3 linked regions of the Struthio camelus genome follow. The protein of the gene in region 1 interacts with the protein of each later gene in a pairwise test. Links are inferred from orthologs where the notes say so. Each region holds a gene or a part of one and is shown in the gene's direction. Other genes may lie near its edges.

Region 1 (10,903 bases):
GAGGAGGCTGCTCCTGCCTGGTCGGCAGTTCTTTTACGCAGCTCAGAAACGGCCCGTGCCCGCACACGCGCAAAACTGCGGTCGTGTTCATTTGCCCTTGAATCACAGTTGGCGTTTACGCCTTCACCTCTCCTCCTTACTGATCAAATCCCTTTCTCCCGCGCTGGTGTTGCCCCTGGGTGCGCCACGCTCTCTGAACTGAAGGTGGGGCCCGGCTGAGATCTTCTCGTAGGGCATGACCAGGTTCAGCTGCAGCTGTGGAACTGAAGCAGGAATGAGTGTGCTTCAGGCTGTAAGTCCTTGAGAAGCTGTGTTTTCTCTTACTGATCATTTCCCCTGTTTTCTTTTACTCTTCATTTCAAATACTTGTGCTTTAGCATTGCAGAAACACCATGATGAAAAAGCTGCCTTTTAGGAAAAGGTAGTATTAACTTTATACTGAAATACACGTTTGTTCCAGCTAAAAGTGAGACTACCCTGCTTACCACGTGAGACAGGGTTGCAATCCAGTGCCCAAAATCTGGTGGGGCTTAACCTCCTCTTTCCACCCGCGACTCCACCAGCAGGTAGAAACCCTGTCACCAGCGGCAGGTGCGAGCGCCTCCCGTGTCCCTGCGACGAGCACAGTTCCCTTCTGGGACAACTCCTCTAACTGCCGGTGGCCTCGGTGGCTGCGGGAGCGGCCGCGGGGGCTGTTTCTAGTTCTGAGAGGCGCTGGGACAAAGGGTGCCACTCGCCGCTCCGCAGCCTTGAGCCCGTCCATCTGGGAAGCTGGGGGTTTTAGGATGGCTCTTCCAGGAACTTTCTCTTCTTTTCCTGCGACTGCTGGCTGCAGCCACGCATCATGAAGGCTCCAGCTCCCGTCGCCGCCGGCCTCGCCGGGGCAGCAAACAGGCCCAGCTGGCGCTGCCACCTGCCTGCACTCGTGCCCAGCTTCTCCGGCTGTAATTAGGGCTGATTGCCTGCAAGCTGTGAAACTGCTAAAAGCAGTGTTGGCTGCAGTTCCTGGCTGTGGGTCTCTTGGGATTGACCCTGTTGTGGCTCTGCCTTAGAAATGTTGGGAATCGCCATGTTATGGGAAAGGGTGGCAGCCAGCCCCGCCAGCTCCTGGTGCGTCCCAGCATGGTGGCAGCGCTCCTCCACCCTCCTCTGCTGCCTGTGCGTCCCTGAGCACGGAGTGGTGGGCAAAGCCGTGGTGCCGGGGTCGCTGCTGTGGATGCTCTGGATTGCAGGTTTCCATGAATAACCACTTGGAGAGACATAAGTCAGTTGTTTCTGGGGCACCGGCTAGCAGAAACTGTCTGGTCTTGCTCGCTTGTGTCCCACGAGCGTCACAGGGCATCTCCAGCGTTTGGTCTGTGTCAGCAGACTGATCCCAGTGTTGCTGTCCCGTCTAGCTTTCCGCTGTAGCGAGCGGATGTTCCCGGTGAGGACGGCCAGGCCCCGGCCACCACTTGTAGCAGCCTTGGTCCTGCTGCCAGGGAAGTTCCTGTGCCTGGCCACGGCTCCAGGTTGCTGCAGGGAACTGGAGGGCAGGTGTCTTGATTTTTTTGCCCCCCATCTGCTGTTCTCCAAGGGTGATTAGGGGGTTGTTGCACAGGACAGGCTGGAATCTGGGAACGGGACAGACCTGGCGTGCAGCCGTCCTGGGCTGCCTGGCAGATTACAACTCCTCCGCGGGCTCAGAGAGTCGTAAAAACAGTAGTTCGTGCTCCTTAGGGTGGGCAGAGCGCGTGTGATCGGGGCCCCGCGGCGCCGGGGCGGGGGACGCTCGTGGGTAACAAACCTTCCGTGGCCGGACGCTCCTGCCGCTGGAAAGCGAGCGCGGGCTGCAGGTCACGCGCCATGCCGCGGGGAGCTACGTGTGTTCAGCACGGGCTTTTGAGGTCCCGCAGGTGTCACCAGATGGTGCTCGAGCGCAGCCCGGTGCGCGCGGGCGCCTGCGGCCCTCGGGGCGCCGTCGGGGCGGTTTGCCGGGAGCGGCACGGCCGCGCGTGCCACCAGCTGCCGCGCTCCCTGGGGTCCGGACCGCTCTCCCGCTGAGCTGCAGCGCTGCCGCCGCCGTCTCCGCTGCCTCCTCAAGCGCCGGCAGGCGCCTAAAACCAGCCTCAGCTGGCCACCGGCGTCCTGCCCCGGCAGGGAGCGGGTCCTGCCGCAGGACGGAGGTGGCCCTGAGCGCGGAGGCTGCTGCGGCGCCGGCTGCGGGCGCTGCTGGAGCCCGCTGGCTGGACGGTACCGGAGCCGGTCGGACCGCGGCCCGCGGAGCGGACGGGCCCTGCGCGCGGCCCGCGCCTCCTGCCACTGCCGCGGCCCTGGTTTTATGCGCGTTGTGCAGCTCTGCTTCCCTCTGGGGAACAGGATTACTTGGACGTGCCGTCAGCCCTCGCTGCTCCGCTTCGGTCTTCGGAAGGAGCCTTCTTTCCCGGCTTGGTGCCGGGGGCGTCCGTGAGAGCGCCGCGGGCCCTGCCGGCTCCCCGCTCCCTCTGCAGCAAGCGACGCGGTTCTTGCCGGGCTTGCCTTGGCCCACGGGGTGGCTGCGCGCGCGTCAGACCAACCTCATCTGCTGCCTGATTTCAATCAATCTCGTCCTCCTCCAGATACGCTCGGAGCAAGCATCCTCCTAATGTCTGAGCAGAGCACAAATGGGCCAGGCCTTCGTATCTGCTGCTGGCTGCTGCCAAATAAAGGCTGTAGAAAGTAATTCAATAACGTTACTGCTAGGCCTGGAGACTTTATCGTGCTCCATCTTTGCAAGGAGCCCTCTCTCTCCCGTCCTCGCAGTGCGATGAGCCAGACAAGGGTGCCCGGATGCACGCGCCTGAGACGGGGGGGATACGTAGCTGTGGGGCAGTAGATGTAACGGGAACCACCGGCTGGGAAAGTCCCATCTGCCGCATGGCTGATGGACAAAGCTGGTTATGTTTCTCTGCAAAGATCCATGGGAACCGAAATGATTCCCAGTGTATCTGTCAGCTGGGAGTAACCCTTCGGTCTTCTGCGACCTTTGGAAAGAGCTTATTAGGCAGTGAAGTGATCAGTGGGTTTTTGCTGCTTTTTGCTAGCAGGAGTATTGCAAGCGCCCCCTTGAGCACCAATGACCAGACCCTCGTCCCGCTCCGGAGACGCGTCCTGCTGGCAGGAGGCCCTGGGGCCGCTGCGGTGCCACTCGATGGCCCCGTCCACCCGCGGGTGCCAGCCAAGGCCCGCTGCAGAGCAAGGAGGGGAGCAGCGCTTCCTCTAGGCTTCTGTATTGCTTTGTGCCCTAAGTGGAGCCTTAGCGAGTTTTATGGCTCAGCTGCACGAGGGACGGGTCCTGGGCGCCTTTCCTTCGGTGAGTGCTGCTGCTGGCGAGGCACCGGGGGGGGGGGGGGGCTGCGTTTTTGTGCAAAGGAGCCTAAATTGTCCACAGAGCGAAGCCACGCGGAGGCGTGCAGCAGCGCGCGCTGCCCCGTGTTCCCAGTGCTGCCGAGGGAGCCGCCTCTGCTGCCTTTTTTTTCCTGGCAAGAAACTGAATTATTTTCAAGCTGTTTCCAATTATTGTATTAATTGGGAAAGTAAACAATATCACAGTATTAGTTAGAACTGGCATAAATAAATCCAGCTCCTCTCTCTAGACTTTACTTTAAAAAAAAAAAAACAAAAAAGCTGCGAAGGGATATTAATCCAAGCTAAATACATAGGATGTTCCCATTAAGTTCTCAGCTGGACAAAGATATCCCTGTTTCCACCTTGGTAGCACACTTAGTTTCCACAGATGTGGCCAGATGTGTCAGATGTCGAATCCTGGGACATGTAGTTGGCCATGTTTGGACTCCAAACAGGCATAGCCCGCGATTAGATACGCATCGAGTGTGCTGCTATTAATCCGGCCGCAGTGCAATGCAGACCGTCCTGCTCCCTCGGGTGTTAGAAGTAACGTTTCCTTGGTGCTGGTGTTGTGCTTCCCTGCAGGGAAACCATCCTCCTTTCTTGGCCTGCTCACTCGGAGACGGAGACCAGCGTCACTGCTCTGAGCGTGGTTGCGGGCAGCGTGTGCAGCCCTACAGCCGACGCAGGCTGTGCCCCGGGTTTTCTCTCGGTTGCCTTTGTCTGGGCACCCCAGTGGGTTCGGGAGCGGCCGCGGCTCCGGGCAGCCTGGTGTGTCGAACAGCCAGCAGCGCCCAGGACATGGAGGCAAAGTGAAAAGGTGCCAAAAAGTCTGTTTTTATGTTCTGAAGAAATAATTCTCGCGTGCATGCACGCTCCTGCCAGGGCCTCCTCTTGCGACCCAGCGAGCTTGGGCTCCTCTGCAACATGAGTGAAGGTGAATGATTTGCCCAGGGTGACTTTAAATTTAAAAGTAAAAAGTTCTTGGTATTACCTTTGGAATAAAATTAGCTTCCTTCTTTCCAAATAATTTGATTTAGTTATTGATTTCTGTGTTAGAAGCTCTCAATTGGGCATTAACCTTTCTCTGAGGGTTTTTTCTCTTTTGCCTGTTGAAATCTCTTTAAGGTAAATCCGATGCAATCTATGGTGGAGGTATTCCAGCCTTTCCGCTCCGGGTGCGAGTCCTGGGGGCTCAGGCAGGAGCTGCCCGTGCAGCGGAGGGCGGCAGCGGCGGTGTCCGGGGCCGGGGGCCAGCCGAACGCTCACCTTCGCGAGGTCGGACCTGCCGGGGCTGCGGGGCCGGGGCGGGCGTGCGGGAGGAGCAGAGCCAGGGCTGCTCCCTTGCCCAGCCGCGGGTGCGCGGGTGGCCACCGCGGCGCAAGCGCTGCCTGTCGCTAAGCCTCATCCGCGACGCGCGCCCGTGCAGAGGCCAGTCTGCATCCAACTTTCGTGGTTGCAGCAGTGCAGGGGGTGAAACAGCTCTGTTCAGCTGAACCTTGGCGTGCTGAGATGAACGCTGAAGCGGACAGCACCGCAGGTGGTCCCTCTGCCCAGGAGGTTATCACTAGGTGCCAGTGTACACGAGCTCTGTCGTGCGGCCAGGACAAGGGCTCTGTGAGCCGTAGCTCCAGCCCTGCTGCTCTGCCCACGTGATCTGTGTGACTCCACAGTGGCATCCCTGAACATCGCTGCTGCTTGGGGCTGTTTCGGGACTCTTTGCTAGAGGTTGCATGCTCCTGGTTTGGGACAGTTGTGTGCTCCGGCCGACCGGGAGGTGGTGGCTTCTAATTAAGAGTGTCTCTGCATGACCAGTCGTGGGACATTGCTGGCTTAACAAAAGATTTCAATCATGTTGTCATGGCAGCAGAAGTTTTTGCAGGGAGAAGTGCTTAGCAAGCAAGCTGCGGGCGCCGGACAGCGGTGGTGCTGGATAAAGCACCAGCCAGGGCATCTGGGGTCCCTGGCCTCGGCACTCAGCGCTGCGCCGCTGGTGGGTTGCGGCCGGGCTGGGGGGCTGCGGGGGGCCAGTGCCTCAGTGCAGCCTGTGCGGCTCTGGGGACTCGCACGGGGCGCCGGTCCAGAGCCCTCCGGCCAGCAATTAACAGGCACAACGAAGGCGGTGGCACGAAGCCGAACGTACTCGGAGATGTGGGGCTGAGGGACCTGTGTGGCTTATCCCTGGCTCTCGAGCACGCTCGTTATATCTGCACAAGCTTCTCTCCTCCAGAAGCTGCAACAAGTCATCCTGCTGAATATAACTTTAATTGCCTGTTACGTGATCTGCTGCTTTTCTCATGCCTGTCAAATGTGTTCTCTGTTCAGAAGTGTAGCTCTGTCATTTGGCGTGACCTGTCTGCTAAACTACAGCAGGAATCAAAAGATGCTGCAGAAAACTAAAAATCTTCTAACCGCAAAATGCAGCGGCAGTCTCAATCTCTGTTGCCATGTGCAGCCTGGTGTGCTAGCACTGGTGCAAACAAATCAATAAGACTTACTGCTTTTCTGATGTTGCCCTTGGCAGTTAAGCAGTGTGCAGTGCCCACCAGAGCTCTCCAGCTATTCTGGGCTGGCAATGCGCTGCTCTTAGCCAGAGCATTTCAGCAATCATTTTTTTTGCAAACATGCTCTGGGGCTGGGATTCAAATCTCTGCACCTGGAGAACCGAGAAGGAGGGAGGCAGCCACGAAGGGGTTAAGAAGAATTATCTGGGCTGCAGCTTTAAAAATGCAGTATGGAGGGTATCAAACTGGATTTGGTAGGAGGTTCTCCGTCTGGTACACGCCTTGGCAGCGAAGAGATATTTGATCTCAGAGCAATAGGATGATCGCAGCACTGGCAGGGTTGCAGTGAGCTGTGGTTTCTGGGGACTGACCTGTGGCTTGGTGGAGGCTCTGCGGTGCTGGAGCCCTGCCTGGCACCAGCTGCCCCTTCTGGTGCTGCCAAGCCAAGGGTGGCACCGGCGTAATTCTGTTACGGCGATTAGAAGCGGACAAACGCTCTTCTAGTTAGACTTTCCCGGGCAGCAGAGAAGGGGTGGCAGAGGATGCGGTGTGGGAGATGAGCGGCACCAAGGATGACGGCCGCTGTCAGAGGGCAGTGCGCATCGTCGCCGAGCTGTGCCGCAAGAAAAGCCTGCCTAGTCTGGACCTGGACTCCTGCCGGGAATTCCTCCTGCTGCCCTCAGACCAGAGCCTGAGCATCTCGGAGCCAGGTAGCGCACCCCGCTCCCGGGCGATGCTCGCCGCCGCAGAGCGGCCGCACGGGCACGAGGGCTCTTGCGAGGGGAGGGACGTGCTTGCTGGCGCCGGTGCCGGAGGCCAAACGGTCTCGGCATGTATCTGTGTCGATCTGCGCGTTTGCGCTGGTTCCGCAGCCGAGCGGCGTGCGGGGGTGGAAACACTTCCCAACCTGTTGCGGTGGGCCATGAGCCCGGTGGGGTTAGCAGCCACGGGCACAGCTGCAGGGGAGATGCTGGTGAAGAGATGGCTGATAACTCAAAGTTTCTGTGGAAGCTCTTTGCCTTACTAAAACCAGACTCCTGTCCCATATAAGACAGCAACAAAAAGCCCACCTAAGAAGCTGAGATGTCAGGAATGGATCGTTTTTACCCCAGTGCAGAAGAGGTAGGACTTGCGTGGGGGTGTGTGTTAACCAACGGGGGATCTTAATGTCCCCTGTGGCGTTCGCCTTGCTCTGCCCCAGCCCTGCGCGACGCTCTGAGCTGCGCGGTAGCCCGTCAGCTGCTGCCCGAGGCTCCTCGCGCCGCCGGGCTGCGGTTCCTCCCGCCCTGCCTGCAGGGGTTTTGCTTTTCGGGGACGCAGCTGGCCCCAGGGCGCCCTGGCAGCTTCGTGGTTTGCTGGATTCCTGTTGTCTTTGCTCCCGGCGGTGCTTCCACCGCGCTCTGATCAGTTTGTCCAGCCTAATGTCTCAGTGTCGCCTCCTGCTCTGCTTGTAAGCTACTCGTTATCTTAAAGTCGCTGTGCTTTACACCTGCTTCTTCTGGAGGCCTCTTCCCACTGGTGCTGTCCTGACGTGTTGCACCCCGTACAGCTGTTTTCTGCCTTGTGAATAATTTCCTGTGGTGTTTCGTAAGTTCTTACCTTGGTACCAAAACCGATGGTTTGGTAACTGCGTGGCAGGAAAGCCGGGGCTGCTCCTCCCGCGCAGGCCGGTCGGAGAGGTGCCTGCCCGCGTCACCGCGGGCTGTTACGGTCTGTCACGGACCTCGTTACCCACCTGCAGGCCGCGCTCGCGCCGCGCGCTTCGACGGCCACCGGGGACCGGCCTGGCGGGCCCCCGCCGCCGCTGCGGCGCTGTCTCTGCTCTGCAGGCCTCCTGCGTCTGGGCGGCCCCGAGGACGCTGCCTGGCCCCAGCGCTGGGCGCAGAACTGCTCCGGCAAGGGAAACGCAATGCCCGTCGCTAACGCGGCGGCGCTGGTGACCAGCCTCCTTTCCCGTCCGCGCGGCCTGCGCCCTGCCCGCTGCCGTGGCGCCGCGCACCGTCTCGGGGAGGCCTGCTGCGCGGCGTCGAGGGGCGCAGGCCGGGCCCCGAGGCAGAGCGGGCCCTGCAGCGCGTCCCGCGGCGAGGGCAGGGCCCGGGTGCCCGGCGCCGGGCCGGCGGCCAGCAGCGACCGGCAGCAGAGCCCGCGGAGGGCGGCGCGCTTCTGCGGCGGGGGCAGCCGCCCCGCCGAATCGGCGGAGGGACGGCGTCTTGCGCGGGCGGCGGGCGCCGCGGAGCCTGCGGCCGGCCCCAGAGACCGCGTCCGCGGCGCGGAGCGCTGCTAGCCGCCCGGGGGGCAAAGCCGGCTGTCGGGCCGGCGGCCACCCCGAGCCGGGGCTTCCTCCTCCCGCCGAACAGCGCGGCGCTGGCCCGGTGCAGAGGGCCCCGAGGGCTCCGCCGTAGCTCGTCCCTCTAGGGGTGGACCGCAGATGTTGACGGCCTGGGTGCGTTAGAACAAAACGGCCAGCGCTGTGTGGCGAGGAGAGGGCGGCGGGCGGACGTGGCTGCCGGCTGTCGCCGGAGCAAAACCGACCCTGTGCCGCTGCGGGGTGAGCTGGGGCCTGTCGCCGTCCGGGCGTCACCGCGACAAACCCCTCGCTCGCCGGTGAGGCAGCCGGGGCCTCACCGCCCGCGGCCCCCGGGCCGGGGAGCGGGGCTGCTCTGCCGGGCTGTGTCTGCCCTCTCGGCCGCAGCGGGGCTCGTTTGCCCGGCCCGCTGGGTGTCAAGAGGGCGGTATGCGCCGGGGACGCTTGCCGGCTTTGCAGCACCCTGCGCAGGGGTTGCAGACAGGGATTTGCACTGCGCTGGGAGCGCGGCCAGGACCCCTGGGCTCCGTTTGCGCCAATGCTCTGCTGCTTTATTTAAATCTTTTTTTTTTTTTTTTTGCCTGAGCGCATCCATTTAAAAACAAAACCAAAAAACGAACTCCTCTGACCTATAGAGTAAGAGGTGCGTACTGAGGATGTGCAGAGGTGCTGGCGTCTCCACCCGACCGCCGCGGTGAGGCCCTGCGCGCAGCCGTCCCGGTGGCCTCGGCGCGGCGCCTGCACCTCCCAAGCCCTTCCCCGGGCCCTGATCTCGGGCTTTCCTGGCACGGGGTACCAGGCTGAAGGAGAGGAAGGCGAAGGACAGCCGGGGAAGATGCAAAACCAGAAGAGCCTTCGATAGGGTTTCAGTTTCCCGGCACGCTTTGCCAGCTGCCCGCCGGTGCTCTCGCCCTGCAGATGCTTTAGCAGTCAGTGTTCTGCCCTCGGCGTGAACTATTCCTCCCCAAACGGCAGTACAGCGTGTGCAGCACTGAGCACCCTCCTGGCGCTTCGCAAAGACTAATAAAAAGCTAAAACCACATGTTCATGAGTGTTTCTGCTGCAGGCAGAGATAGAGGTGCGTTTTTTTGTGCAATATGGGTTTTACTGCAGGAATGCTGAAGGGAGGGAAACTGGTTTACATAGCGAAATTGCTTCTGAAATATTTTTCATGGAAGAATTATTCCCTGATAGTTTGAGTAGTGGGAAAATTGATGACATACCCATTCACTGATAAGAAATATCTCCAGCCTCTAGTTATGAAATATGGATGAACCTTGAGTTAACAAAATGTCTGTAATAACACTCTTCTCTGAATCACCGTTAAAGTGCATTTTACGGGAATATGGTTCCGTAACAGTAAACATGTTTGGAGCTATCCAGGCAAAACTAATATTAATCACTGGAGCGTGTGTTTCCAGTGGCCAAGCATGTGAGGCGTAGCAAGGCCCTTGGGGCAAGGATCTCTCCTGGCACCGAGTAATGCTGCTGTGAAACGGCCCTCGCCAGCTTGCAGCGGGACAGCTCTCTAGCTCAAGTGAGACAGGTTTGTGCTTTGGTCCTGAAGGTGTCAGGTTCAAACCTTGCTGTTGGAAGGGAGGCTTCCACAACTATTATCAAATTAAGATTAAATGCACAAAACTAGAGGCATAATGCATTATATGGCCCGGATAAATGCATTATATAGCCTGTCTACGAACACGCATCAGTGCTTATGTATTGAGCGCTAGCACTATCTGTGCTCTGTGATGGTCCCAGTAAATAAAACACTCCTTGGAGCGTGTGTGTTTAGGGGGCTTGTTAAGTCCTTCTCTGCAGAGACGCAAGTTTGGATCTGGCCGATAGCTGCTGGCTGATCGGTCGCTGAAGCAGCGCGGGGAGCTGGCGGCCGTGCAGCTGCGGCAGCTCCTGCTCAGGCAGGGACCGGCATCGGCAGCGCCATAGAAACGGGCAGCCAGGTCGCTGCTGCTGTCAGCTGCGCGCGCCAGCCCAGGACGGTGGCCAGGCAAGCGCCGGGGAGCAGACGCCTCCTTGGTAAGTCCACGTTTCCAAAGTTACTTCCTTCGTTTTTTGCCTTTCTTCATAACATGGGCCCTCTTTGCCTTAACGAACGTTTTGCTTCAGCGGTTTGCCTCTGCTGTTGAAACGTTTTCTCTTGCTTTCGGTATTTTCCCTGTGTTTCACTGAGACCCAGCATGTGCTTTTAGCTGGTTCAAATCAGGGCATACCCTTACTCTAATCTTCTCCGTTGTTTTGCAGGCTGATTCTGTGAAACTGGCATTTTTGTGTTTGCAGATGTTTGTTTCTTGACATCTCTGCTGAAGTCGTATCGGTGCGATGTGTGCAGCCACATGCATACACCATGTATTCACTAACGTTCAGTCTCACGTATGTGCATTCGTTGTTCAGAGACAAAACCAGGACTTTATGTGGAGCTCAGTTCTGATATAATTCTTCATTTAACTTTGTAGCGTCAACTATCCTGGTTTTTTTTTTTAACCTGTTTAATCTCTCACTGTTCATGTTTCTAGGTACAATCTCATTCTTCCTTACGACTCTGTGTTTCCATCTCATGTTGGTTGGGCATCTTTATCTAGCTTTAATATTTGTTATTTCCTCTTCAGAGGCAATAGTGTGTGTATATATGTATATATATATACATATACATATATATATATCTTTCCATCTGTAAAGCATGAGAACAGGAAGCTTATCTGTAACAGCCCTT
Region 2 (10,305 bases), on another chromosome or scaffold:
TATTGCTTCAAACGGTAATTTACTAATGTCACAAACGTCAACTACCATTCTTAAAAGGGAAAAAAGCACAGAAGAATACTGAGGTTTCTCAATCCTCAACTGCAATAACAGCTGTTAAATACAGTAGAAAAATATTTCTTTCATCTGCTTGCTGAACATTTTAACCTAAAAAGAATATTTCACACTTACTGACCAAAGGATCCTAAGTTTCTCAAATCAATCTCAATACTCAAAGAAAGGGCAGGATAGTGTACTATCACTACACACCATGAATAACCTGAAACCAGACAAAACACAATAAAGGATGAACTCCAAGTCTATTAAATACAGGACTTCAACAATAGGGAAGCACTCCTCACCATATCTGGTCCGTAACCACTTGCAAATGGTGCCTTTTAAAACAGCATGAACTACAGAGCTTTTTAACACCTTCAAAGATAAGGATTTCAACATTTTCTCAATCATCTACTGCTTTAATTGAACTAGTTTTCCCAAAATAGCAGGGCTAAACGCTTAAAGAATCAGATGTCAAAAATGTAATGGTTTTTCATGCTCTTTCTTTCATTTTAATCACTAATTTAGGAAATTTCTTCCTAATCTCCATACAACTGTTCACACTGTTGCAGGCGTTTTACAACTCAGGAGTCCCGCAACATCAGAGCAACGTGAACGTGTCTGGCAAAGACGGACCCTAGCTTCGCTATTTTTATGTATGACGCTAATAAAAAGATCACTAGAAATATTTATGGGCAAGATATTTCCCACAAATGAATTTCTCTATCTGTATGCAATACTTTGTTCTTGTCTTTGCATGGGATATCAAATAATTGCCAAACATAAAAGATGAAGATGAAAAATTGCATTCAAAGGTCATCCCAATGGTTAACAAAGTTGGAGCTGACTTTTGGAAAAAGCTGTACTTGCCAAATCTGTGGATTTGAGATTCCACACAGTTGCAGCTATGAATTCAAAACCAGAATTAAGAAATATTTACATTTTGTTAATAGAATAAAATAAATTTTCCCTTTGATTATCAGAATAGAACATAATCTTCTCGAGGTGAACAGCTTATAGCAACTACATTTAATATTTGCGCATAAAAGAAAACTGAGCATGGCCTCACAAGAGCCAGCAACAGATATCTTAGGTTAGGCTATATTTTCTGTCAGTCCAGACAAAGCAGTGTCCATACCAGATTGCTTCCATCGACTTTCCATAGTAAGAATTTACTTCTTACAAGGAAAATTTGCAGTGCCATTTATCTTCTCCAGGTCCTCTACCTACACTCGGATAAGTACCTTCGAAACAGCAGCAGCAGGTTCAGTGACAATCACATCTTGGTGTAAAGACCAGGTACTGCAAACCTTGATACCAGCCTCATCGTTGTTGGTGAAATTTTGCTTGGAATCATCTCCACTGTAGACAGACTTTAACTTTTCACTCCACTGATCCTCGTTGCGCTCTTTTGCGAAAGGTACTTTGTTCTGAGCTGCATCAGTTAAAAAAGAAACAAGAAAACCCACCAAGCCCACACACAAATACAAACGTCAGATTTTTCATAAATGCTATTTTTGTATTTATTTATCAAAGGGATGGTGAGATTCAACAAGCTGGATTTTTTCCCTCCCTCACTAGAAAATAAGCATGAAATTTTGTGTTTTATTTTGGAAATAACATAAATTACCAAATCTCCAAAACAGAGTCATCTTTTTCATATGAACGTTATTAAGAGCATCAATACTAGAAAAGGTAGAGCATTATAGTTTACTTTACAGTATCATCTGCCCGTAGTTACCACAGTACCACTGTGACTTGCTTTTGCAATATTTAATATTTTCATCCAGAAATAAGGAATCTAACTGAACACTGTAAAACACGGTTTCTGAAGTTACTGCACTTAACAGTTATTATACAAAAGTCTCCACCTTGTGATCAACACAGAGACCAGTTGCAAAACTTATAACAACTGGTGTTAGCTCTTAAAATCATTACTGCTTTTACGGAAGAAGTGAGAAAATGCAAATACACTAATGCTTAGTGACAAGTATAGTGGAAGTTATAAATCTAGAAAGTAAACCTTTTCTTCAGGGGTTATTCTGAGAAATCACTATGCAGGACACACTAAGAAATAAGACAAGTTTAAACCCACAAAAAAACCCTTCAAACTAAACAAAAAAAACCCCCACTATCAATCTGTGTAATGGAAGATATTTTTGTTCTAGAGTAAGTGCTTGTTGTTTCACTTTTTTTGCACTAAAGAAAGAACTAATGTTTAGGATAAACTTTTGACCAGAAATAATTAAATAAAACTTACAACAGCCTACTTCCTGGGAAGCATCAGCCACCTGTGAGAACCCAGAGAAGCCAGTGTTCCCTTCATCTTCTTGCACTGATTTAAAGGATGTTTGAAAAGCAAGTATTTTGTCCTTTAATGATCCAGCATTTTGATAGTTAAAAGGATTAACCTGCAAAAACAAAATTAAACCTCATGAGTCTTTTTTTCCTAGGATGAGGATTTCTTTATTACTTTGTATTTATACTTTAGCATAACACAAACTGGGAGAAGAAGCAATTCTTGTGTTTAATCTGGCTGCTGCTTTAGTTGTATAGTAAAAATATATAAGAAAAAAATTAGAACAAGAAGTCTGTTAAGTTTTATTGCCCTTTCACGTCTCCCTCTAGATCGTATTCACAATTTGTTTTCTGACAGCATCTGTTAGAGTTAAAAATGAGTTTAATTTAAAAAGTCATTTATGCTAGTATTTACTTCACTTTGAAGTATCAATGCTTTAATTACGTATAGATCAAGCATGACAAATGCAGGTAAATAAAGTTTACGTTAAAAAAATTAAAATATATGAGTACGTTGGACACGAAGAAAAGACTCCAGACTATAATCAAACAAAACCTATCGCATTCCCTATTTTAAAGTAAGGCGCCCAAAAGAATTCAACAAAATTAAGGCCATGGTTATTTATTATATTGCTTTCCTTAAAGACTTACCTTTTCTTCCCATCAGCATATATTAAATTTGAAAATTTACATGTTATTTCCTAGAGGAATAAACGGACACATTAGATATTTGACAAAGATTCTCACCTGTGTAAAAAATTCTTTCTGCCTGTTCTTTCTCTGCTGTGCAAGGTATCGAATAAAGGTGTTATTTTCTGGGGACCCCCGTACTCCGATTGTTGACCTTCGTCTAAACTTTAACGGTGTCGGAGAGTTCTCTGAAATCAACATAGGAGGAAAACATACTATTAAACGTCACATGTTAAAACACTTAAAGCTTTAATAGCAGAGAAAAAATAAAAATTAAAGATTTTTTTTTTTTTAAGGATCTATACTGTTTATAGAAAAATCCAGATTGAGCTGTTCAGCTCAGGAGACATTCCTTCTATGCTATTTTTCAACAAGGTCCCTAAAAATAGGTTCTAGAACTCTGTTCAACTAAGATAAAAATAAGAAACTGGAACATTCCTTTTCTATACAAATAGGAACTCAGACCTTTTTTTTTTCTCCTATGCACAAAAAAGAACACTGCAAAAAAACAAGTTCATAGTTACACTATATTTCTAGTGAAGGGCTCTGTCTTTCTCTTTTTCAATGGCTAATTGAGGAACTGCCAATAATACTTGCACAATTTTTGTCTTTCTACTCTGTTGAGAAAGTCACTGACACCAAGCTGAATAGAAAAAAGTTTAAATTGAGAATTAAAGCAACATTACATCAGACTCAAATCCTTAGATATCTGAAACTCAACTGGACATCGTCCTGAGTAACCTGAATCTGGCCTCATTTTGAAGCTGATCCCATTCTGAGAAGGTGGATCAGATGACCTCCAGGGTTCCCTCCCAGAAGCAAACACACTTCATTAGTCACCCCAGCCTTACCTATAGATTGTTTAGTAAAAGATTCTGGAGTAATCCCAAATTCAGCAATTGTTACAGTTGCAAAATCAACAGGCTTTCTCCTCAGTCTCTGTGATATTCCACAATCATGTTTTTCTTCTGCTTTATCTCTATTTGGTGTCAAGTAGCTTTCATCCCCTACAGAAACAGGCCCACTTTTTGAAAAATTTTCCTTATTGCTCAAGGGCAAGGTAGGTTCACCAAACGTCTCTCTATTTGGTGTATCAAAAAAGCATTCAGTGAGCGTATAGTTGACAACATCCTTGCAGTTGTGGTATGATTCTTTCTCTAGGTCTTTAGTGCATTTTGATGTGGATTTCCGCAACGGTGCTTGGTTCCCATCATTTAAATTCTCCTTCTCAGATGCCTTTGTGATTTTGGATTCAGTCACTTTGCAAATCTTCCGGTCTTTTGACAGAGCAGGGAAACAGGCCTCTTCCTTCTCTTCAGTACTTCTACTCTCATTTTCTTTCACTTTCAAGGTAGCATTTTTATTTTGTCTGTGCATTGTTAGTGATTCTAAGACTACTGAGATATTTAATCAGTCTCTGTCTTCCTGTAATTACAGCTCCCTACCAAAAGGGAGAAGAGATTTAACAGGTATTTGGTAAGAGCTACCGTTTGCAAACTTCTACCAAACCTACGAGTTTTCTGAAGGCATTTTCTAGAGCTAGGGGGTTAGCAGAACGCATGGAAAGGAAAAAAGCGAATCTCAGGAAGGCTACACAGAAAGGCTACCTAGGGCTGGTGCTAAACAGAGAAATTCACGCTAGGGTAAACCTATAAAAGAAATGTTACAGAAGTAAGGAAATACAAGGCTATTCTTTTATCCTATACCAAACCTAAATCTTACGTTAACATAACACATATTAAGCACAACCACTTTTGTGATTACTTTGTTGCAAAAACTGTTGCCATGGGTATCAGCACTTTGAGATTACCTTTGGCAAGTTTAAGATTCGAACATATTTTGCATTCAGCTTTCTAGATTTAAAAGCTATGCACACAGAGTTGAAGAACATCACTCAAACTTCAGCTCCAAAAAACGTCTGTTTCTGTATTTTGCATACCCAAAGTGAAGCCGTTAAACACCGTGTACACACTTTTTTCTTTTTTTTTTTTTTTAACGTGAACACCAGAAGTTGAAGCCAACACCTATCTGGTCAGAGAAACGAGACTCGGTTACCCAAGCGAGAAGCGTCCAACGCCGGCCGTTACCAATGACGCAGCCTTTTTCCACGCGCCCCTCCAAAGCGCAGCCCATACACCCCCTTCCCCAGGCACCCCGCTTCCCTCGCGCGTCCCCTTCCCCGGGCGGCCCCTCCCCGAGCACGCGGCCCCTCGCATCCCCCAGTACCCCCTCGCACTCCCCGGGTCCCCCACGCCCCTCCAAGCCCTCACCAGCGCTCCCCCATCCCTTTCTGCCCCGCAGCACCCCCCCCCCACCGCTGGTTCCCCCACCGCTGGTTCACCCCTCGCCGGTTCACCCCCTCACCTCCGCCCTCACGCCCGCCCCAGCGCTTCCCCACAACCGCCAGCCCCGCGCCCGCCTCCCACGTTCAAACCGGGCCGCACTACTGCGTATCCCTCCGCGCCTCCGCCCCTCTTCCCTCCCGCTTTGCGCCCAGCAGCCGGTAGGCGTCAGGGCCTGAAGCGCACGAGGAAAAGGCGGTTCACAGGGGCCCGGCCCCGTGCCTCCCCCCCCCTCCCCGCCCCTCACGCCGCTAGGGCTCCACAGGGAGGAGGAACTCTTTGTCTCCCTGCGCGGAGGCATCAATCACACTCCCTCACGCGGTGAAGTGTCTTTTCGATAACGGACCGTTAAACGAACACCGCCCACGTGGCCGCCCTGCCAATCAGGAACTTAGGCTCTACTTCCACTCGCATGCAAATATAGCACTTTGCTCCTCCCTTGATTGGCTACGAGCAGCGCTACTCCCGCCCCGCTCCCCGCCGCTCCTATTGGCGCATCGCCGCCCAACCCACCGCCCCTCCACCGCGGCGGGGCGCGGCTCCGGTTGGCTGCAGCCCATGTCGGTCAGCGGGCGCAGCCTTCTGGGTGCGGCTGGAGGAGCGGGGCGCTGCCGCTGCCGCCGCCGGAGCGGCAGCAGCAGCAGTATGAGGCGGGTCACGCTGTTCGTTAACGGCAGCCCCCGGAACGGGAAGGTGAGGGGCGGCGGGCGGTGGGGTTGGTCCGGCCCGGCCGGCACCGCGGGGCGCTGGGCGCTGGGGCCGCCGCGCGGGGGCTCGTCTCTAGCTTGCTGGCGGAATTGAACCCCGTTCCCCTCCCCGCTCCGCCCAAGCGCTCGGCGGAGCGCCCGGGCCGGGGGCCGCCGCCGTCCCGCGGGCGGGTTCCCCGCCGGTGCCGCGAGGAAGCCCTGAGAGAAACCTCTAGCGCGGGCGGCCGCCGCCGGGCCGGCGGGGCGCGCTCCTCCCTTCTGCCCCCGGCGCTGCTCCCCGGCCGCTGGTTCTGTCCCCGTTTAGGGCCTAGTCCTCGGGCCGCTGCAGCGCACAGAAAAGCTTGCGTGGCCCTCGGGGGCAGTGGGGTTTTATTCACCGTAGTCTAGCCTCGAGTGACGTTTCTGCACGTGAGCGCTGAAGAGAAGCACAAACAGCTAAGATCCGTTTACTAACGTTGCAGTGCAGTTAAAGTCACCTTCGTGCTGGCATTATTAATTCAGGCCCTGATGTTCTGGCAGCAACAGGAAGCACGTAAATTAAGTCCTGCGGGCTGTTTATGAAGCTGTTTTTTGCGAAACGGCCATCTGAGTCTGCATTGGCCGTTAGTCTTAAATTCTGCACAGCAGAAATGCCATCAAACCAGTACAGTTTACTGCAGGTCCTACTGCCAGGTCTCTGCCATGTCTAACCGGCACTGCATGTGAATGTTTTCTGTTGGCTAGCCAATAAATAATCTTGCTTAAACTTTTCTGACTTGTTAAAACCTATCTAGTCTCAAGAGTGAGCGTAGCTCACGTTTCAAGGTTCAGCTGCTGCACAAGCAGAACGGGAAATGGGCCCACTGTACAGTTCTACTAAATGTAATCCCTGATTTCCTTAGAGAAATTAACAGCTGAGTCATAACATCCCTATAGTACTGACATTCTTTTCCTGATGCTACCACTTCTGTACAGGGAGTCTTGGCTGAGAGATGTGTAATTAAGTCACCCCATTTTAAGGGACCTATGTTTCTTATATCGAAGTTGACCCTGTTTTTTTAAGGAAAGGTCCATACATGTCTTCCTCTCCCCAGGGAGAAGACATGGCTAGCCTACTACTCTGAAATGGCAGAAACTATGCATGCATGGTATCCACAGCAACCTCTCTTTTCTTTCACAGGTTGTGGCCGTGTATGGAACTTTATCAGACTTGCTGTCTGTGGCTAGTAATAAACTTGGAATAAAAGCAACTAGTGTTTACAATGGAAAAGGTGGACTCATTGATGATATTGCCTTGATTAGGTAAGGCTTGTCCAATAGAAGTTATCATGGATGAGGATTTAAGACACTCAGTATATCGTATTTATCCTCTGACCTTAATCAGTAACCAGTGCTTTCCTTAAATCATCTAATCACTTCCAACCAATATGCGAGAAGTCCTTTTATGCCTCCAGGAAAACAATAGTCTCTTAAACTTCTTAGCGTTTATATCTTGATGAGTCAGAAATTGATACAAGTTGCATTTTATGCCATTTAACATCACTCTGTGCTGATCCACAGCACAATGTACATACCAGGAGCATCCCACTATTCTAGTCTTGCATGTCATTCTTATTTTTCTGAAAATGATGGGATAGCGTTTGGATGAGGTTTTTAGAATAGGCAGACAAACTGTAGCATTGCATTATCTTCATTTAAAAAAACTCCCAAAGTGAGGGGAAAAGCAACTTCTGTAAAATTTAACTGGCTGAGTAAAGGAAGCGATCCCTACCAGGTTCGTACAGGTATGTATCGGTAGCATCTCTAGTGAAGCTGATAGTATTAAGCTCTGCTGAAACCTGCAAGAGTAAAATAAAAATGAGATACTGAACTAACTAATGGCAACTGATTATTATTTACCTGAGACTAATCAGGAGGGGATCCCACTGTCACTTATATAAAAGAACAAAAAAGCATGGTTAATAATTTCTCTGCTCTTTCTCTCCCCCCTGCCCCTCCCCTTCCAGGGATGATGATGTTTTGTTTGTCTGTGAAGGGGAACCGTTCATTAGTAAGTGTGTGTAATTCTTAACGTTTAACATTTTGCTTAATGAAAAGAGGTTTTTGTTTTGATGTAAATCTAAAACTTTATTTTCTGATATTTTTCAAAAGAGACCGTTACCATATGGAAGATTCAAAAATATTCACGATTCTTCTAATAATTACTGCGTTGTTCTCACTTGTGTAGATCCTCAGACTGATGTGAGACCTCGTGAAGAACTAACAGGATCACACACAGATTGGTTAACACTCAATGTTGGAGGCCGGTACTTCACAACTACGCGGTAAAAGTACAACTAGTTTGGTTGTATTCTGAAAGGACTTGATTTCAGTAAAGTAGTTATAGTAGGTTGCCATTAGTGTACGTTCATTTGGTGAGGCTTCAGATGTTCTTGAACTAGCAACATCTTTGTATGGGGCAGGGGGGCTTTGACTTCTGCAGCTTTCTCAGGATTAGGTATTTGCTACTGCAGTTTTGCAACAACGTAATCCTTTAACAGTTTACATGTGAAATAAAACTGGTGAAAAGGCTGAACAGGCTTGGAATTATCTCTGGAATATTTCAGTTAACTAAGTGCTTTGTGTTTGAGGTACTTTTGCGATACTTTAGTTTACTAGGTCAGAAATGTATTTCTTTATCACATCATATGAAATTAAATCAGTCTAGTATTGTAGCTGTTAGAATGCGTATCGTGTACCATTATTGCCGGCAAGCTGCCGAGGGGAGGAAATGCACTCTAACCAGCAAGTGCATCTCTTAAGCAAAACTTTCCGTTTGAAAAATAAAATTGTGCTGCCTTTATTTTCTAGGAGCACTTTGGTTAATAAGGAACCTGACAGTATGTTGGCTCATATGTTTAAGGACAAAGGTTAGTATATTGAAATAAAGTTTATCTTTTAACCTAGGAATTAGCAAAAGGCACTATCAAGGTAAAACTCCTGTTTGCATGTTAAAGTATCAAAACAGAACATATAATTTATTTCTCCAATGCCTATGTGATGTTTATCAGACATCTCACACACTGAGAATATAATTTCTACCCATAATAAATACTTTGGGGGTTTTATTTTCATATTGGATTTTCTTCTTTTTTCTTGCACCTTGCTCAGCTTTGTTAATAGTAGTCACAGAATCACAGAATGGTTGAGGCTGGAAGGGACCTCTGGAGATCATCTAGTCCAACCCCCCTGCTCAAGCAGAGTTGCCTAAAGCATGTTGCTTAGGATCGTGTCCAGATGGCTTTTGAGCATCTCCAAGGAAGGAGACTCCACAGCCTCTGTGGGCAACCTGTTCCAGCACTCTGTCACCCTCACAGTAAAGAAGTTTTTCCTCGTGTTCCGACGGAAGAACATGTCAACAGAAGCAGCTGGCAAACACTGTACAAGACAGCCTTTAGAAGCAGGGGCAGACTAAACACTGCTTTTATTCTGGCAATGGTTCTTGTACCTGTGATAAAATGTCTTTAGGTTATGTCTCTACATAGAAGAGAGATTTTTAAGGTGATTGTTTCCTTGCTCTTATTTTCTTTCCTTTTCTCTAACGAAATGCCCTTTAAAGTGAAATGTTTGTCATCATAATCCAGGACCCTATGGTAGTAACAATCTGAGACTGAAGCAAATGCTCCTCTCTTAATACATCAAATTTAATTACGTATATCTTGTGGAAACAGATGCTTGGAGAAATAAGCAAGATAATAGAGGAGCATTCCTAATTGACCGCAGTCCAGAGTATTTTGAGCCAATCCTGAACTATTTGCGTCACGGACAGCTCATTGTAAATGATGGCATTAATTTGCTAGGTAGGTACTACTTGTATGACATCTTCTAAATTATTACGCTTTAGAAGTTGAACTTTGCCTGCGGATAAACATGATAAAACCAGTGGGACTTGTTCACCTTAAGATTTGGTGCATTTTATTCTGGGTTCAATTCCACATGTTTGGCTAAATGAAGATATACTGTTTAAACTTATTTATCCTGAGAGCTTTAAAAATTCTCCATGTTGGATTAATGGTGTGGCTGTAATTTTGGATTTGCTATCTTTAACCTACTGCTGGCGTTGGAAACATCCTTTCTGAGTTATTTTTTCCTTTTAGCCGCAAGCAAACTAACTTTACCCAATTACACCTAATATAATGTATGTGGTTGACAGTTTTATTAGCTTAAGAATTTCTTAGAGACTCCTTAGACTTCAG
Region 3 (10,956 bases), on another chromosome or scaffold:
GTATCTATCCTTTTTTAGAGAAGGAGAAGAAAAAGCGAGTTAACTGTAAAGGTAACTTTGGAAAGTGATGCTAGAAGCCATTGCCTCATATAGGTGAGAGAGATGCACAAGAACATCAACAGCCTGTGAAATACAGTTGACTTTTATAATAGTCAAAAAAAAAAAAAAAAAAGTTGTTACACTTGCACAGTACAATACAGTGAAACCCATGGGGCTTGAGCTCCAGACCTGACCTTTGAAGTTAAATTGTAAATACTTTATTCAGGGAATAATAACATGGAATGAAACAATTTAATAAGCTCTTACAAATGATGGTTTCAAGTAATGACACGTTGTCTTCTGATAAGATGATCTCAGGTGAATTGTAACTGCAGAGTTACCTGTGAGGTAACTCCTCGCAGGTAACTCCTGTGAAGTTACCTGAGAATTAGAGACTAGAGGCTGTTTGTTAAGATTTAATGTTTTCATAGTAAAAATTGCACAAATACCAAGCCTTTGACAAGTAAAAGAATTCACAGGACTTGAAGTCAATAAATGATATGTATCATGTAAAATAACATGAACACAAATACATCTAAATTTAGCTTATGGAAGAAATACAACTTGATACTTCCTTGTAACTACGTTACCTAATTATGGTTACTTTGTACATAATGGTCAACCAGGTATTACTTTAACCTAACCCACTTTGTCAGTATTAATAACTAAATTATGTTTATTGCTAACTAAAAACTCAAGCCTCAATTACATTTTTAGGAAGAAAAACCTTTCACAGGCTGAAGTGTAGTCCCTACAAACAATAAAGTAAGCCATGTTAATGTCACATTTTTCTAACAATATTATCTGCCTTTCCATTGCCTACGTGGTAAAGTTGACATTCACCACACACGCGCCTTCCCCCTATAAGTTTTTGGATCTCGGGACAAGAAAGCAAGGTATGCTACCCTGGAATAGAACAGAAGACCTAGTTCTGAACAACATAATTCCCAAAATACTGTGTGGGTTTTTTTTTTTTTTTTGGTAGTAGATGCTATATGTGTGACTTAAGTCTTGACACATTACGGGACCTATCTTTCCTTCTGTGCTTATTAGGGGGAAATTGCAATGAAAAGAAGAAAAGACTTAAGGTTAATGAATATCATGGGATGAAATAAGAAGCAAGTTTTTATTTCAAATGCAAACTAATCCCAAATTTTGCAAGTACCAAAAAAGTTAATGTTTTTTCACTATTACCTGTTGAAGTAAAATTTTAAAATGATGCAAATGCAATTAAATTAGGCTTCATGTAACAATTTCAAAATGCAAATGTTTAAGACTTGATACTAAACAAAGATTGGTCAAAAGTTTGTTAACATTTAACATATTCTGGATCTCATTTAATATTTTATATGGAACTTAGGAAAGGAGACATTATAATAATTAGATCTTTGTTCACAAAAACAGTGCCTTTCCTAAAAAGTCTAATGTTTTCAGATTTCATATTCTAGTATGCCAGTTTAAATATTTTATGGACTTCATAAAATTTGGCCTATATTTTGTCTCCATACAATGATTAGTTCCATAAACATTAACTGTAAAATAAAATGAAATTAGTTTCTTTCACAAGATTTCTTTTGCTCTAAAGAGTTATAATCACGATTGAACAATAGACTACAGATTTGCCAAGTGACCAGAAGTTGTAACATCTACTTGTACCAAATCCACCTGGGACCCAGTCAGAGCTGGAAGCGTCCCCAGCCGGCGTGCACTGCCCTAGCCTTCAGCACCATCTGCCGTTTTACGGAGCGCTGACAAGTGCTTCCCTCTTGCCACCATCTTCTTTTCCCCCCTTTTTGCAGTGCCTTCGCCTGCCCCGCCTGAGACCTTTGGACAAAAGTAAGTATATGATATCATTCAAATAGAAATCAAACATATCAAGCAATCAAACATTTATGTTAGATTGAGACATTCCAGAAATAAAATATTCTGCAGAATTACCTTAAGTAACAAAGGTCATAGTCTAAATTCCCAGCCTTTCTCTCTTTAAACTACTGAATCGTTACCATCTGAAAGATATTTGGTAATTGGCAACAGAGATGGCAACAAACTAAGTGCACTGATGCATGGATAGATAAATATAATCACAATTTCTTTTCTTTGAAGACTTTCATAAGGAAACCAAGTACTATGGGTGCAGCTAAAATTAAAATCTTCAGTGTTTCCAGATAGACTTAGAGCATCTAAACAGACAAGACTGGGAAATGTATATAGTCACTGCTTATGCTAGAAGTCTTCCAAGATGTCCCCAAGACTAAAATTATTTTACTGCATTTTCACTTGTAAAGAAGACCCAGTCATGTTCCCCCCCCCCCAAAAAAAAAAAAAACCAAACTGAGTAAAAACTGCTTTTGAAACAAAAATAAAAATCAGTGGTACTGAAATCAGGTTTTTACCGAGAAGCTACACAGAGCTGTTTTGGTGCATCCTTGACAAATGAACTGTACGAAAAATGCCATACCACCTAGCAAAAGCAGTAGCTATACTTGAACAACTTTTTTTCTTTTCTTAGAGCAAGAGCCACAGAGTTTCAGTAGTCTGTCTTCCCCAAAATGCCTAGAAATCAGTTGTCTCTTAGCTAAGATACTGTTAAAAACTGTATGAACTTGTTTGGAAGCTTGATTCCTTATAGAAATAAGTCAATTTTCTAAAGTTAAGATACAATCCTACTAGCTGTACAGTTACAACCTCCCTTAACGTGCTGGCACAAAAACACTATCCTGAATGCCACAGGCTTGTTTGGAGGCTTCAAAGGAAGTCTTTGATCTATTTTCAGCCTATAAATTGTTCTTGTGGAATCTCATCTTATTTTTGGAATGTTCATGTATGTGCTTGTTGCATGGCCAATTGAGCGGTCTGACTGTAGAGTATTTCTTGTCGTTTGGCTGATCCAGGTACCTGTCTTTAGCATGAGTACAACAGCAGGGCCCTGGCTGTTCCGTCCTAGGACAATAAAATCAGCTCCTTGGGGAAAACCAGCTACCACTCTCTGGTTATCCCCTCCTGATAGTGCCTACAGCAGCACTGATAAACTTTGGAATGGAGAACATCAGTGGAATAAATAAAGAAAAAGGAGAATCTTCAGGGAAATTTTGTGGTTATAAAGTTATTCTTACTGACTTTATATTGGAAAATACATCAACTCCCAAATCAAACTGTAAAAAGAAAATCAATGTTAAAGCAATTATGAGCACAACCCCTGAGTGGCAAATGCATCTCTTTAAGTATAGTACATGTGATGTTGGTGAGTTTCCAGCTATTTCTTTGTTTTCCTCTGTTCAGTTTTGCATTAAATTAAATTTCTGAATCACATACAGCTACCAATGAACTGCAGAAAGTAATCCGTCCGATTAGTTTCATTTAAAGCCTGTTTTCATCCAGGACTAAATTCAGTAGATATACTTTAGGTAATATGAGAAATTAAACACAGTACATTGTATGGGCATTCTTTAAAATCTAGTTTAAAACAGCTGGTAGGAATTAAATGCTGGCTTTCCATCACTAAACCCAGCTCTCAATTCTGACAGCATAGACTGAACAATTCTTATCTAGATTTATATAATAATACACCTTAATACCAAGACAAAATCAGCAGTATTATTGGAGGATGGGAGTTATTATGGCCCTTTATATTGCTTCCATCACTAAACACAAACTTTGTACAAAGATTCCAAAGAGAATGTATCCATTATTCACTACATGCTTAAGTTCGGAGAAGAATGATCTAGGACGGCACATTTGTGCTTAAACTTCAGTTAAAACAAAAAAATTGCCTGTCAACAATGAAATGGAATGTTTAATTCTCAGTATTAAACCATAGCTCCTTCCCATCCTGTATCAGAAAGTATTTTTTCCTCATCCTATTACTTAGGATAAAGCTCTGTGAATCCGCTTTCCCTTACTTATTAAAACTCTGAGATGAAGTCACTGAAACTGATGACAGAAGTTACCTCTTTGCCTGGTCTACCACTTTGACTTACTACTTCCTTCACTATACCACTTAATGACACACCCAATGTTGGATTAAACCCCAATTTTCCCAAGATGCAAAAGCAATTGCACCTTTAAACTAATGACACTGATAAGCGTGTTAACAGCCTGCTCAGAGAACCCAGGAGTGCCGTCACTGGGCAAACAATGCAACACGTGCTTCCCTTACACCTCTTACACACGTTTATGGTGCTGCTGACACAACACTCCCACAGACATCTGCAGAGCTAAATGCAAAACACGTCATTACTCTTATTTTGGCTTAACTCTTGCATGTTCTGCTATAGCATTTGCCTTCTAGCTCAGGTGCTTCCCCCCACCCCCTTCTCTTTATCTACCAGTTGGACAAAACTCAACCTTGGGAGATGGTATCAGGGATGTCTGCTGGTTTCATCCAAGGGATTCAGAACAAACAGAGCAGCTTCTGGCACAACTCTCTCAGACCATTTTTAAAGCTTTTACCTACCTTGTTAGAGGCTTGAAGCTTGATTCAGCTCTAAGACTTTGTTCTCATGGCCAGTATAGCAACATCGCTATGCTTTGGGAGCAACTCCTAAACCATCTGTTTCCTAATTCAGTTATTCTCAACATTAAAAGAATCCTAAACATAATCTTGCTCTAAATTTCATATCGAAAATCTAGACAGTTTATGAAAGTAAGGGAAAAACCTGAAAGTGGATACAAAGATTTATCCCATCTGTCCATTTTTATGTATTTCACACATATCAGTGGATGGAGGGCTATTCCAAAAAGTCATTTCCCCTCTGCCAACGCGTAAGTGGGATCCCATCTGGATATACAGAAACATCAATCTCTTTTTACACAAATAGAATAATTTATTAACATGTATTTCATTACAACAGTGCTTGTTGTATATTCATCTGGTGCTGCATTTCTACACGCGGAGTCCTCGCTGAATGATTCCTGGCTCTACACAATCAGGAAAACACAAAGGAGAGTGCCAAACTCATTCAGAGAAATTGATTGGAAGAACGTGTGTGTCAGGTATTTAGAACGCAGGGAAAGGACTTCACGGGATTCAGGCCTTCCTTACATATAGATGTAGCTCCCGCAGAAGAACATTACATAAAGTACTTTAAGCATTGCAGGAAGAAGCTGTAATAACTTAAAATAAAGGCATGATTTTTGGCCATAGATATAATGCCTCAGCACATGCTCAGACCACAAATACTGTGGCAAAAACAAACTTTTCTTGAGTACAAATTCTTACAAAATTTCCTACTAGAAATTTGTTACCCTTTCCCCTGAAACCCATTAACTTGCCAATATAAAGAAAAAGATGCTGGACTGGGGAACGTCACTGTGCTGCTCCAGTGCGATCGCCTCTCTGTGCGTTCTCAAGGCGTTAGACCGCACCTGCTCCGTGAAACGCCTTAGGCAGCGAACGACCGGCGCTGCGGGCCCTGCTGCTGCCGCGGGCCAGCGCTCCCGCCCCGCGCTCCCGCCCCGCGCTCCCGCCCCGCAGCCGCCCTTTCCAGCCGCTGACGAGGCTCCAGCGCTGCCCGCGGCCACTCGCTCCTCGGCGGCGCCCTCCCCGCGGCCTCCGAGGCACCGCCGCCGCCGCCGGGCTCCGCTGCCCCCCGAGCCCCCAGCCCCCAGCCCCCAGCCCCCCCGCCGCCGCCGGGCTCCGCCGCCCCCCGAGCCCCCAGCCCCCCGCCGCCGCCGCAACCGCCGCCGGGCTCCGCTGCCCCCCGAGCCCCTCCCGCCGCCGCCGCCGCCGCCGGGCTCCGCTGCCCCCCGAGCCCCCAGCCCCCCCGCCGCCGCCGGGCTCCGCCGCCCCCCGAGCCCCTCCCGCCGCCGGGCTCCGCTGCCCCCCGAGCCCCTCCCGCCGCCGCCGCCGCCGCCGGGCTCCGCTGCCCCCCGAGCCCCCAGCCCCCCGCCGCCGCCGCAACCGCCGCCGGGCTCCGCTGCCCCCCGAGCCCCCCCGCCGCCGCAACCGCCGCCGGGCTCCGCTGCCCCCTGAGCCCCGAGCCCCCAGCCCCCCGCCGCCGCCGCCGGGCTCCGCTGCCCCCCGCCGCCGCCGCCGCCGCCGCCGCCGGGCTCCGCTGCTCCCCGAGCCCCTCCCACCGCGGCCGCCGCCGCCGCCGGGCTCCGCTGCCCCCCGCCGCCTCTTCCCGGCTGCCCCTGGGCTCGGGCTCGGGCAGGAAGGGGCGGGGCCGCCCGCCGCGGGACCCGGATGCGGAAGCGCTGGCAGGGAGGCGGTTTCCGGTGTGGGCCGGGCAGCGGCGGCGGTGGTGGTGGCGGCGGCGGCGGCGGCGGGGAAGCTGCGGCGGTGGCGCCGCGCCTGGAGCCGGGCCGCACCCGCTATGCGAGGGACGCTGAGGCCCCCAGGTGAGAGGTCGCCGCCGGGGGCCGCGCTGCCGCCGCCCCGGCTCCGCGGGCCCGCTCTGGGGCGGCGCGCGAGGCCTGGCCGCCCCCGCCCCCCGGCGAGCCCCGAGCGCGGCCCCGGCGCGGCCCCGCCCCGCCGCCGTCGCCGGGCCCGGGAACCGCGCGGCGCGGGGACGGCGGCGGCGGCGGCGGCGGCGGCGGCGGGGGCCGGGCCGGGCGGGGCGGGGCCGTCGGCGGCCGCGGGGCCTGCGGAGCCGGCGGAGGCCGGTCCCGCCGCCGCTGGTGCGGATGAGCCGCGGGCGGCTGCCGCGGCTGGGGTAAAACAATCGCGTCTTTCAGGAGGCTTTATGTACGACGGCCTCGAGGAACCGCGTGCTGCGCTTTTGAAAGTGACTTTGTTTTTAAGCCAGTAACGTTTGCTTTGCGTGTTTCATCTGAGCGTTCCAGCCTGGAGACTAAAAACTTGTTGTGGGTTAAAATAGAAAAACTTTGCTCTCTATGACGTGGGTAGAGAAAAAGCAGAAACAGAACAGGTTGTAAAAGGAGGAAGTAAAACCTCTGCAGAAGGAAAAACCCAAATATTCTTGAAATGTATAGTTAAAAATATCTTATGTGTGTTTAGATGGCTTTGCTTTTCATGTTAGTTCGGTATATATAATATCAGCTCTGCTCCCTAATGGAATTGTTTCAATGGTGAATAAATATGTTTTCCAAGCTATATTTGCTTCTTGGACTAAGCTGTGTCCTTTTTGAAGGATGGCAGTTCAGGCTAGCAATTGTTAGGTGTGCAGGCATGCCTATTTAAATTTCAATTGAATGTATCATAAAAGGGTATCTTTGTTGTAGGCAAGCATTGTAGAATAGATGCTTATGTCTGGGAATATTCTGAAAGGAGATAAAGAATTTACACATCTGCATATAAATGCTGCTTTTAAAAAAATATTTTGTAATGATCATTGTATTAGATAACGATTTATTATGTTGAAGAAATGTACTTCAATAATTTTGTCCACTTGTTTTAAGCAAAGTGGAAAAAATATGTAACACTAGTGCTGACAGTATTCTGTTACTCAGTGATAAATATAAGCAGCTGATCTGGTTTCTTGAAGTGGGTTGGTATTACAGGTATATAGAAGGACTGATGCTTTGAGGAAAGACTGAGGAGTGTTGAAAATGAAAAATTAAACTAACTGGTAAAACAGTAAATTTCAAAGTGCAAATACTCTTTATTGCTATTACATAGGTCATGATTTTGAGAAGATCAGTTTAACTGCAAATGCTTCAGAGAGCTTCCTTTCCAAGAAAGTCATTTAAAAGCTGCTATTTCTAATATTCTGTTAGATTTACTAAATCAAGACTTATTCAGATTGCAGAACAGCTTATGTTCCCCATCAGACAAATTGTTCTCAGACTAGCTAAAAAATAGCGAAATTATAAGTATAGTAATATTCAGTACAAATTCCACATTTGCACCTGAGGTATGACAGTTTGTCATACTTTACTTCTGGTGAATTGCTTACTGTCCCTAGACTCTTTTCCCTTTTAATTTAAAAGGGGGAAAATATGCTGATTTCAATTTTGCACCTTCATGTTGAGATTTTTCAGATACTTTTGGGAATGCATCTCAAGCAGTTTGTTCAAGGATGTGCATAATCGTTTCTAGCTTGATGCTTTGAGGAAAGACTGAGGAGTGTTGAAAATGAAAAGTTAAACTAACTGGTAAAACAGTAAATTTCAAAGTGCATAATCGCTCCTGAGCCATCTATATTTTGTATGCAAACATTGCTGTCGTCTTCTTAGCAGCCATGCATTTGTGCCAAATTCTGGCATCTTAACACAGTGCACCAGTCAGCACATTTTTCTATTGACAGTTATGTAACTGTGTAGAAAGTACTGTGGTTATTTTGCACGTTATCTGTAGCGAGGATTCATAATCATGTTTTCTACATTTCATTTCTCCATAGAACTACTTCAGTTGGAGTCCTGCAACTGTTTGTAATTCAGTGTCTATTTTTGCACCATATTCAAAAAGTGCTTAAAATTCTGTGTGTGCTGTCTGCTAGCTTCCTAAATATTGTCTCTAAGGTGCACAGCCCTATCTATTAAAATTTTGACACTTCCCTACTGATGAGAAACAGAATTTGACAGGGGAAAGCTGCTTGTTATTTCATGGCTTTCAGAGTTCTATTGTATTCAATTTAAACATGATGTAGTTGAAAAATTGCACAAATTTAACTTATTCAGGGAGTTAATCTTGGTCTTTCATGACTGGTCATTATTTCTCATGTTTAAAAACATGTAAATTTATCTTAAACTTCAAATTTAAGGCAGAAATTTTGAACAGTTTTATTACTTAAGATGACATCAACTTTGTGGTAAGACATCTGGATCATGTGGGAATACAAACATTAAAATCTGAGCTATTAGCTGAGCTTCTAGCCTCTAATTTTGTTGCATTGTCACACATATACAAGGTACATATGCAAAAAATTCTGTACAGCTCAGGTATCGCTTTCCTGTTTACATAATTTAAAATGTTAAATTAAGGAATCTTGTAATAACATCTGAAAAAGCTCAGAAAGAAAGGATTGGATTGTAGTGTTGCAACTGCACAGGATGTTGCTCTTTCAACTTTCATCTAATAAAATGACAGGGAAATACCCCTGGAAGAGTCATAAGCCTCATTCTCACTAGGACTCTATGCCGCCTTTGTTGTTGAATGAATCAATATGATGACTTTTGAAAACTTTGTTTAAGGTGGAACATTTCATAAGAGTACAGTCAGTCTTTATTGGGGGATTAATGAGATTATTTGTTTGGCAGTTGAAATGCAGAATCTTTCATACACCTTTACAAACTCTAGGACATCCTGCAGTTAACTCTACTGCTAAAGTTTCATCAAATAATTGTTTTTGTTATCCTAAACTCATGCTTGAATAATCATTCTGTCAACTAGGTAAATCTGTTCCTAACTTCTGCTGTAGATGATGAGTGCTTGTGGATAGATGAAGTGCAGCAAGATGTGTTGGCATGGGAATTTGTGGCCTTGATATAACTTTCAAAAAGGGAAAAGATGAAATGGAGGGGGGAAGATAAAAATAGGCCAGTGACACAGGTTCCCAAAAGTTTTGAGTCGACTTCTGTACGAGTCCATTAGATGTTATTCCTTAAAGAAAAAAATTTGAATATAAGCAACTGGAAAGACCAAACTTTACTAAGCAGAATTTCTGATCCTTCTCTCTCTTCTTTTCCTCTTGCAGCACAACACTAGATTTGTAATGAAATGGAGTCTGGATCAAGCTCTTTTCGAGTGGAATTTCCAGATTTTTCTAGCACCATTTTGCAGAAGTTAAACCAGCAGCGCCAGCAAGGACAATTATGTGATGTGTCCATTGTAGTTCAGGGCCATCTCTTCAGAGCCCATAAAGCTGTTCTTGCAGCTAGTTCACCTTACTTCTGTGATCAGGTGCTCCTGAAAAATAGCAGGCGGATAGTCCTGCCTGATGTGATGAATCCAAGAGTATTTGAAAACATTCTTCTGTCTACCTATACAGGTCGGTTGGTTATGCCTGCTCCAGAAATAGTAAGTTATTTGACAGCAGCAAGCTTTCTTCAGATGTGGCATGTAGTAGATAAATGCACTGAAGTGCTAGAGGGGAACCCAACAGTTCTCTGTCAGAAGATGAACCATGGCAGTGATCATCAGTCCCCGAGTAGTAGTAGTTACAACGGCCTTGTTGAAACCTTTGAACTTGGCTCTGGAGGACAGACAGAATTCCACAAAGTGCAGGAGCTGAGGGATGGCGAAAATGAAGAAGAAAGCTCTAAAGATGAACTGTCATGTCAACTAACAGAACACGAGTACCTTCCCAGTAATTCTTCAACAGAACATGATAGACTCAGCACAGGAATGACAAGTCAGGATGGTGAAGAAGGGACTAGTGATAGTGCAGAGTATCAATATACAAGACCTATATATAGCAAACCCAGCATCATGTCTCACAAGCGGTGGATCCATGTGAAACCAGAAAGATTTGAACAGGACTGTGAAGGTGTTGATAATCCTTATGATGAACACCAAGTTTCTGAATCCATGAATGCCATTCAGGCAGATCATTCAATCCAGTCTTCAGGTGTTGAAGACTTTCATATAGGTGACAAAAAGATGGAAGCAGAATTTGATGAACAGGCAGATGAAAGTAATTATGATGAGCAAGTTGACTTCTATGGCTCTTCTATGGAGGAGTTTTCTGGTGAAAGGGCAGATGGAAATTTAAGTGCTCACAGACAGGATCTTATGATAGCAACAGGTTATGGTGAAGGTATTGAAATGGCTACAGGAATTAAAGAAGAAACATCCCTCACTGGATTCTCACATGCTGATAAGCTATATCCTTGTCAGTGTGGTAAAAGCTTTACACACAAGAGTCAGCGAGATCGGCATATGAGTATGCACCTTGGTCTTCGACCTTACGGCTGTGGTGTCTGCGGTAAGAAATTCAAAATGAAACACCATCTTGTTGGCCATATGAAAATTCATACAGGCATAAAACCATACGAGTGTAACATCTGTGGAAAAAG

Evidence for each region.
Region 2: the proteins of SYT6 (region 1) and KCTD9 interact in binary tests that used the Homo sapiens proteins (3 or more experiments, as listed by UniProt). The two-hybrid records come from large-scale screens. The link is inferred for Struthio camelus from reciprocal best matches to the Homo sapiens genes SYT6 and KCTD9.
Region 3: the proteins of SYT6 (region 1) and ZBTB43 interact in binary tests that used the Homo sapiens proteins (3 or more experiments, as listed by UniProt). The two-hybrid records come from large-scale screens. The link is inferred for Struthio camelus from reciprocal best matches to the Homo sapiens genes SYT6 and ZBTB43.

What each region holds. Positions count from the first base shown.
Region 1 is NC_090965.1:9,982,231-9,993,133, reverse strand, and holds the start of SYT6 (synaptotagmin-6), read left to right. Parts: upstream 1-6,052; 5' UTR 6,053-6,426; coding exon 6,427-6,580; intron 6,581-10,903.
Region 2 is NC_090968.1:4,626,926-4,637,230, forward strand, and holds the start of KCTD9 (BTB/POZ domain-containing protein KCTD9), read left to right. Parts: upstream 1-5,903; 5' UTR 5,904-5,942; coding exon 5,943-6,077; intron 6,078-7,250; coding exon 7,251-7,372; intron 7,373-8,076; coding exon 8,077-8,120; intron 8,121-8,297; coding exon 8,298-8,394; intron 8,395-8,920; coding exon 8,921-8,979; intron 8,980-9,780; coding exon 9,781-9,909; intron 9,910-10,305. Other genes in the region: CDCA2 (cell division cycle-associated protein 2), read right to left, coding at 1,299-1,489, 2,315-2,465, 3,100-3,230, 3,894-4,419. UniProt on the Homo sapiens protein: Substrate-specific adapter of a BCR (BTB-CUL3-RBX1) E3 ubiquitin-protein ligase complex, which mediates the ubiquitination of target proteins, leading to their degradation by the proteasome.
Region 3 is NC_090961.1:393,563-404,518, reverse strand, and holds the start of ZBTB43 (zinc finger and BTB domain-containing protein 43), read left to right. Parts: upstream 1-6,269; 5' UTR 6,270-6,378; intron 6,379-9,635; 5' UTR 9,636-9,658; coding exon 9,659-10,956. UniProt on the Homo sapiens protein: May be involved in transcriptional regulation.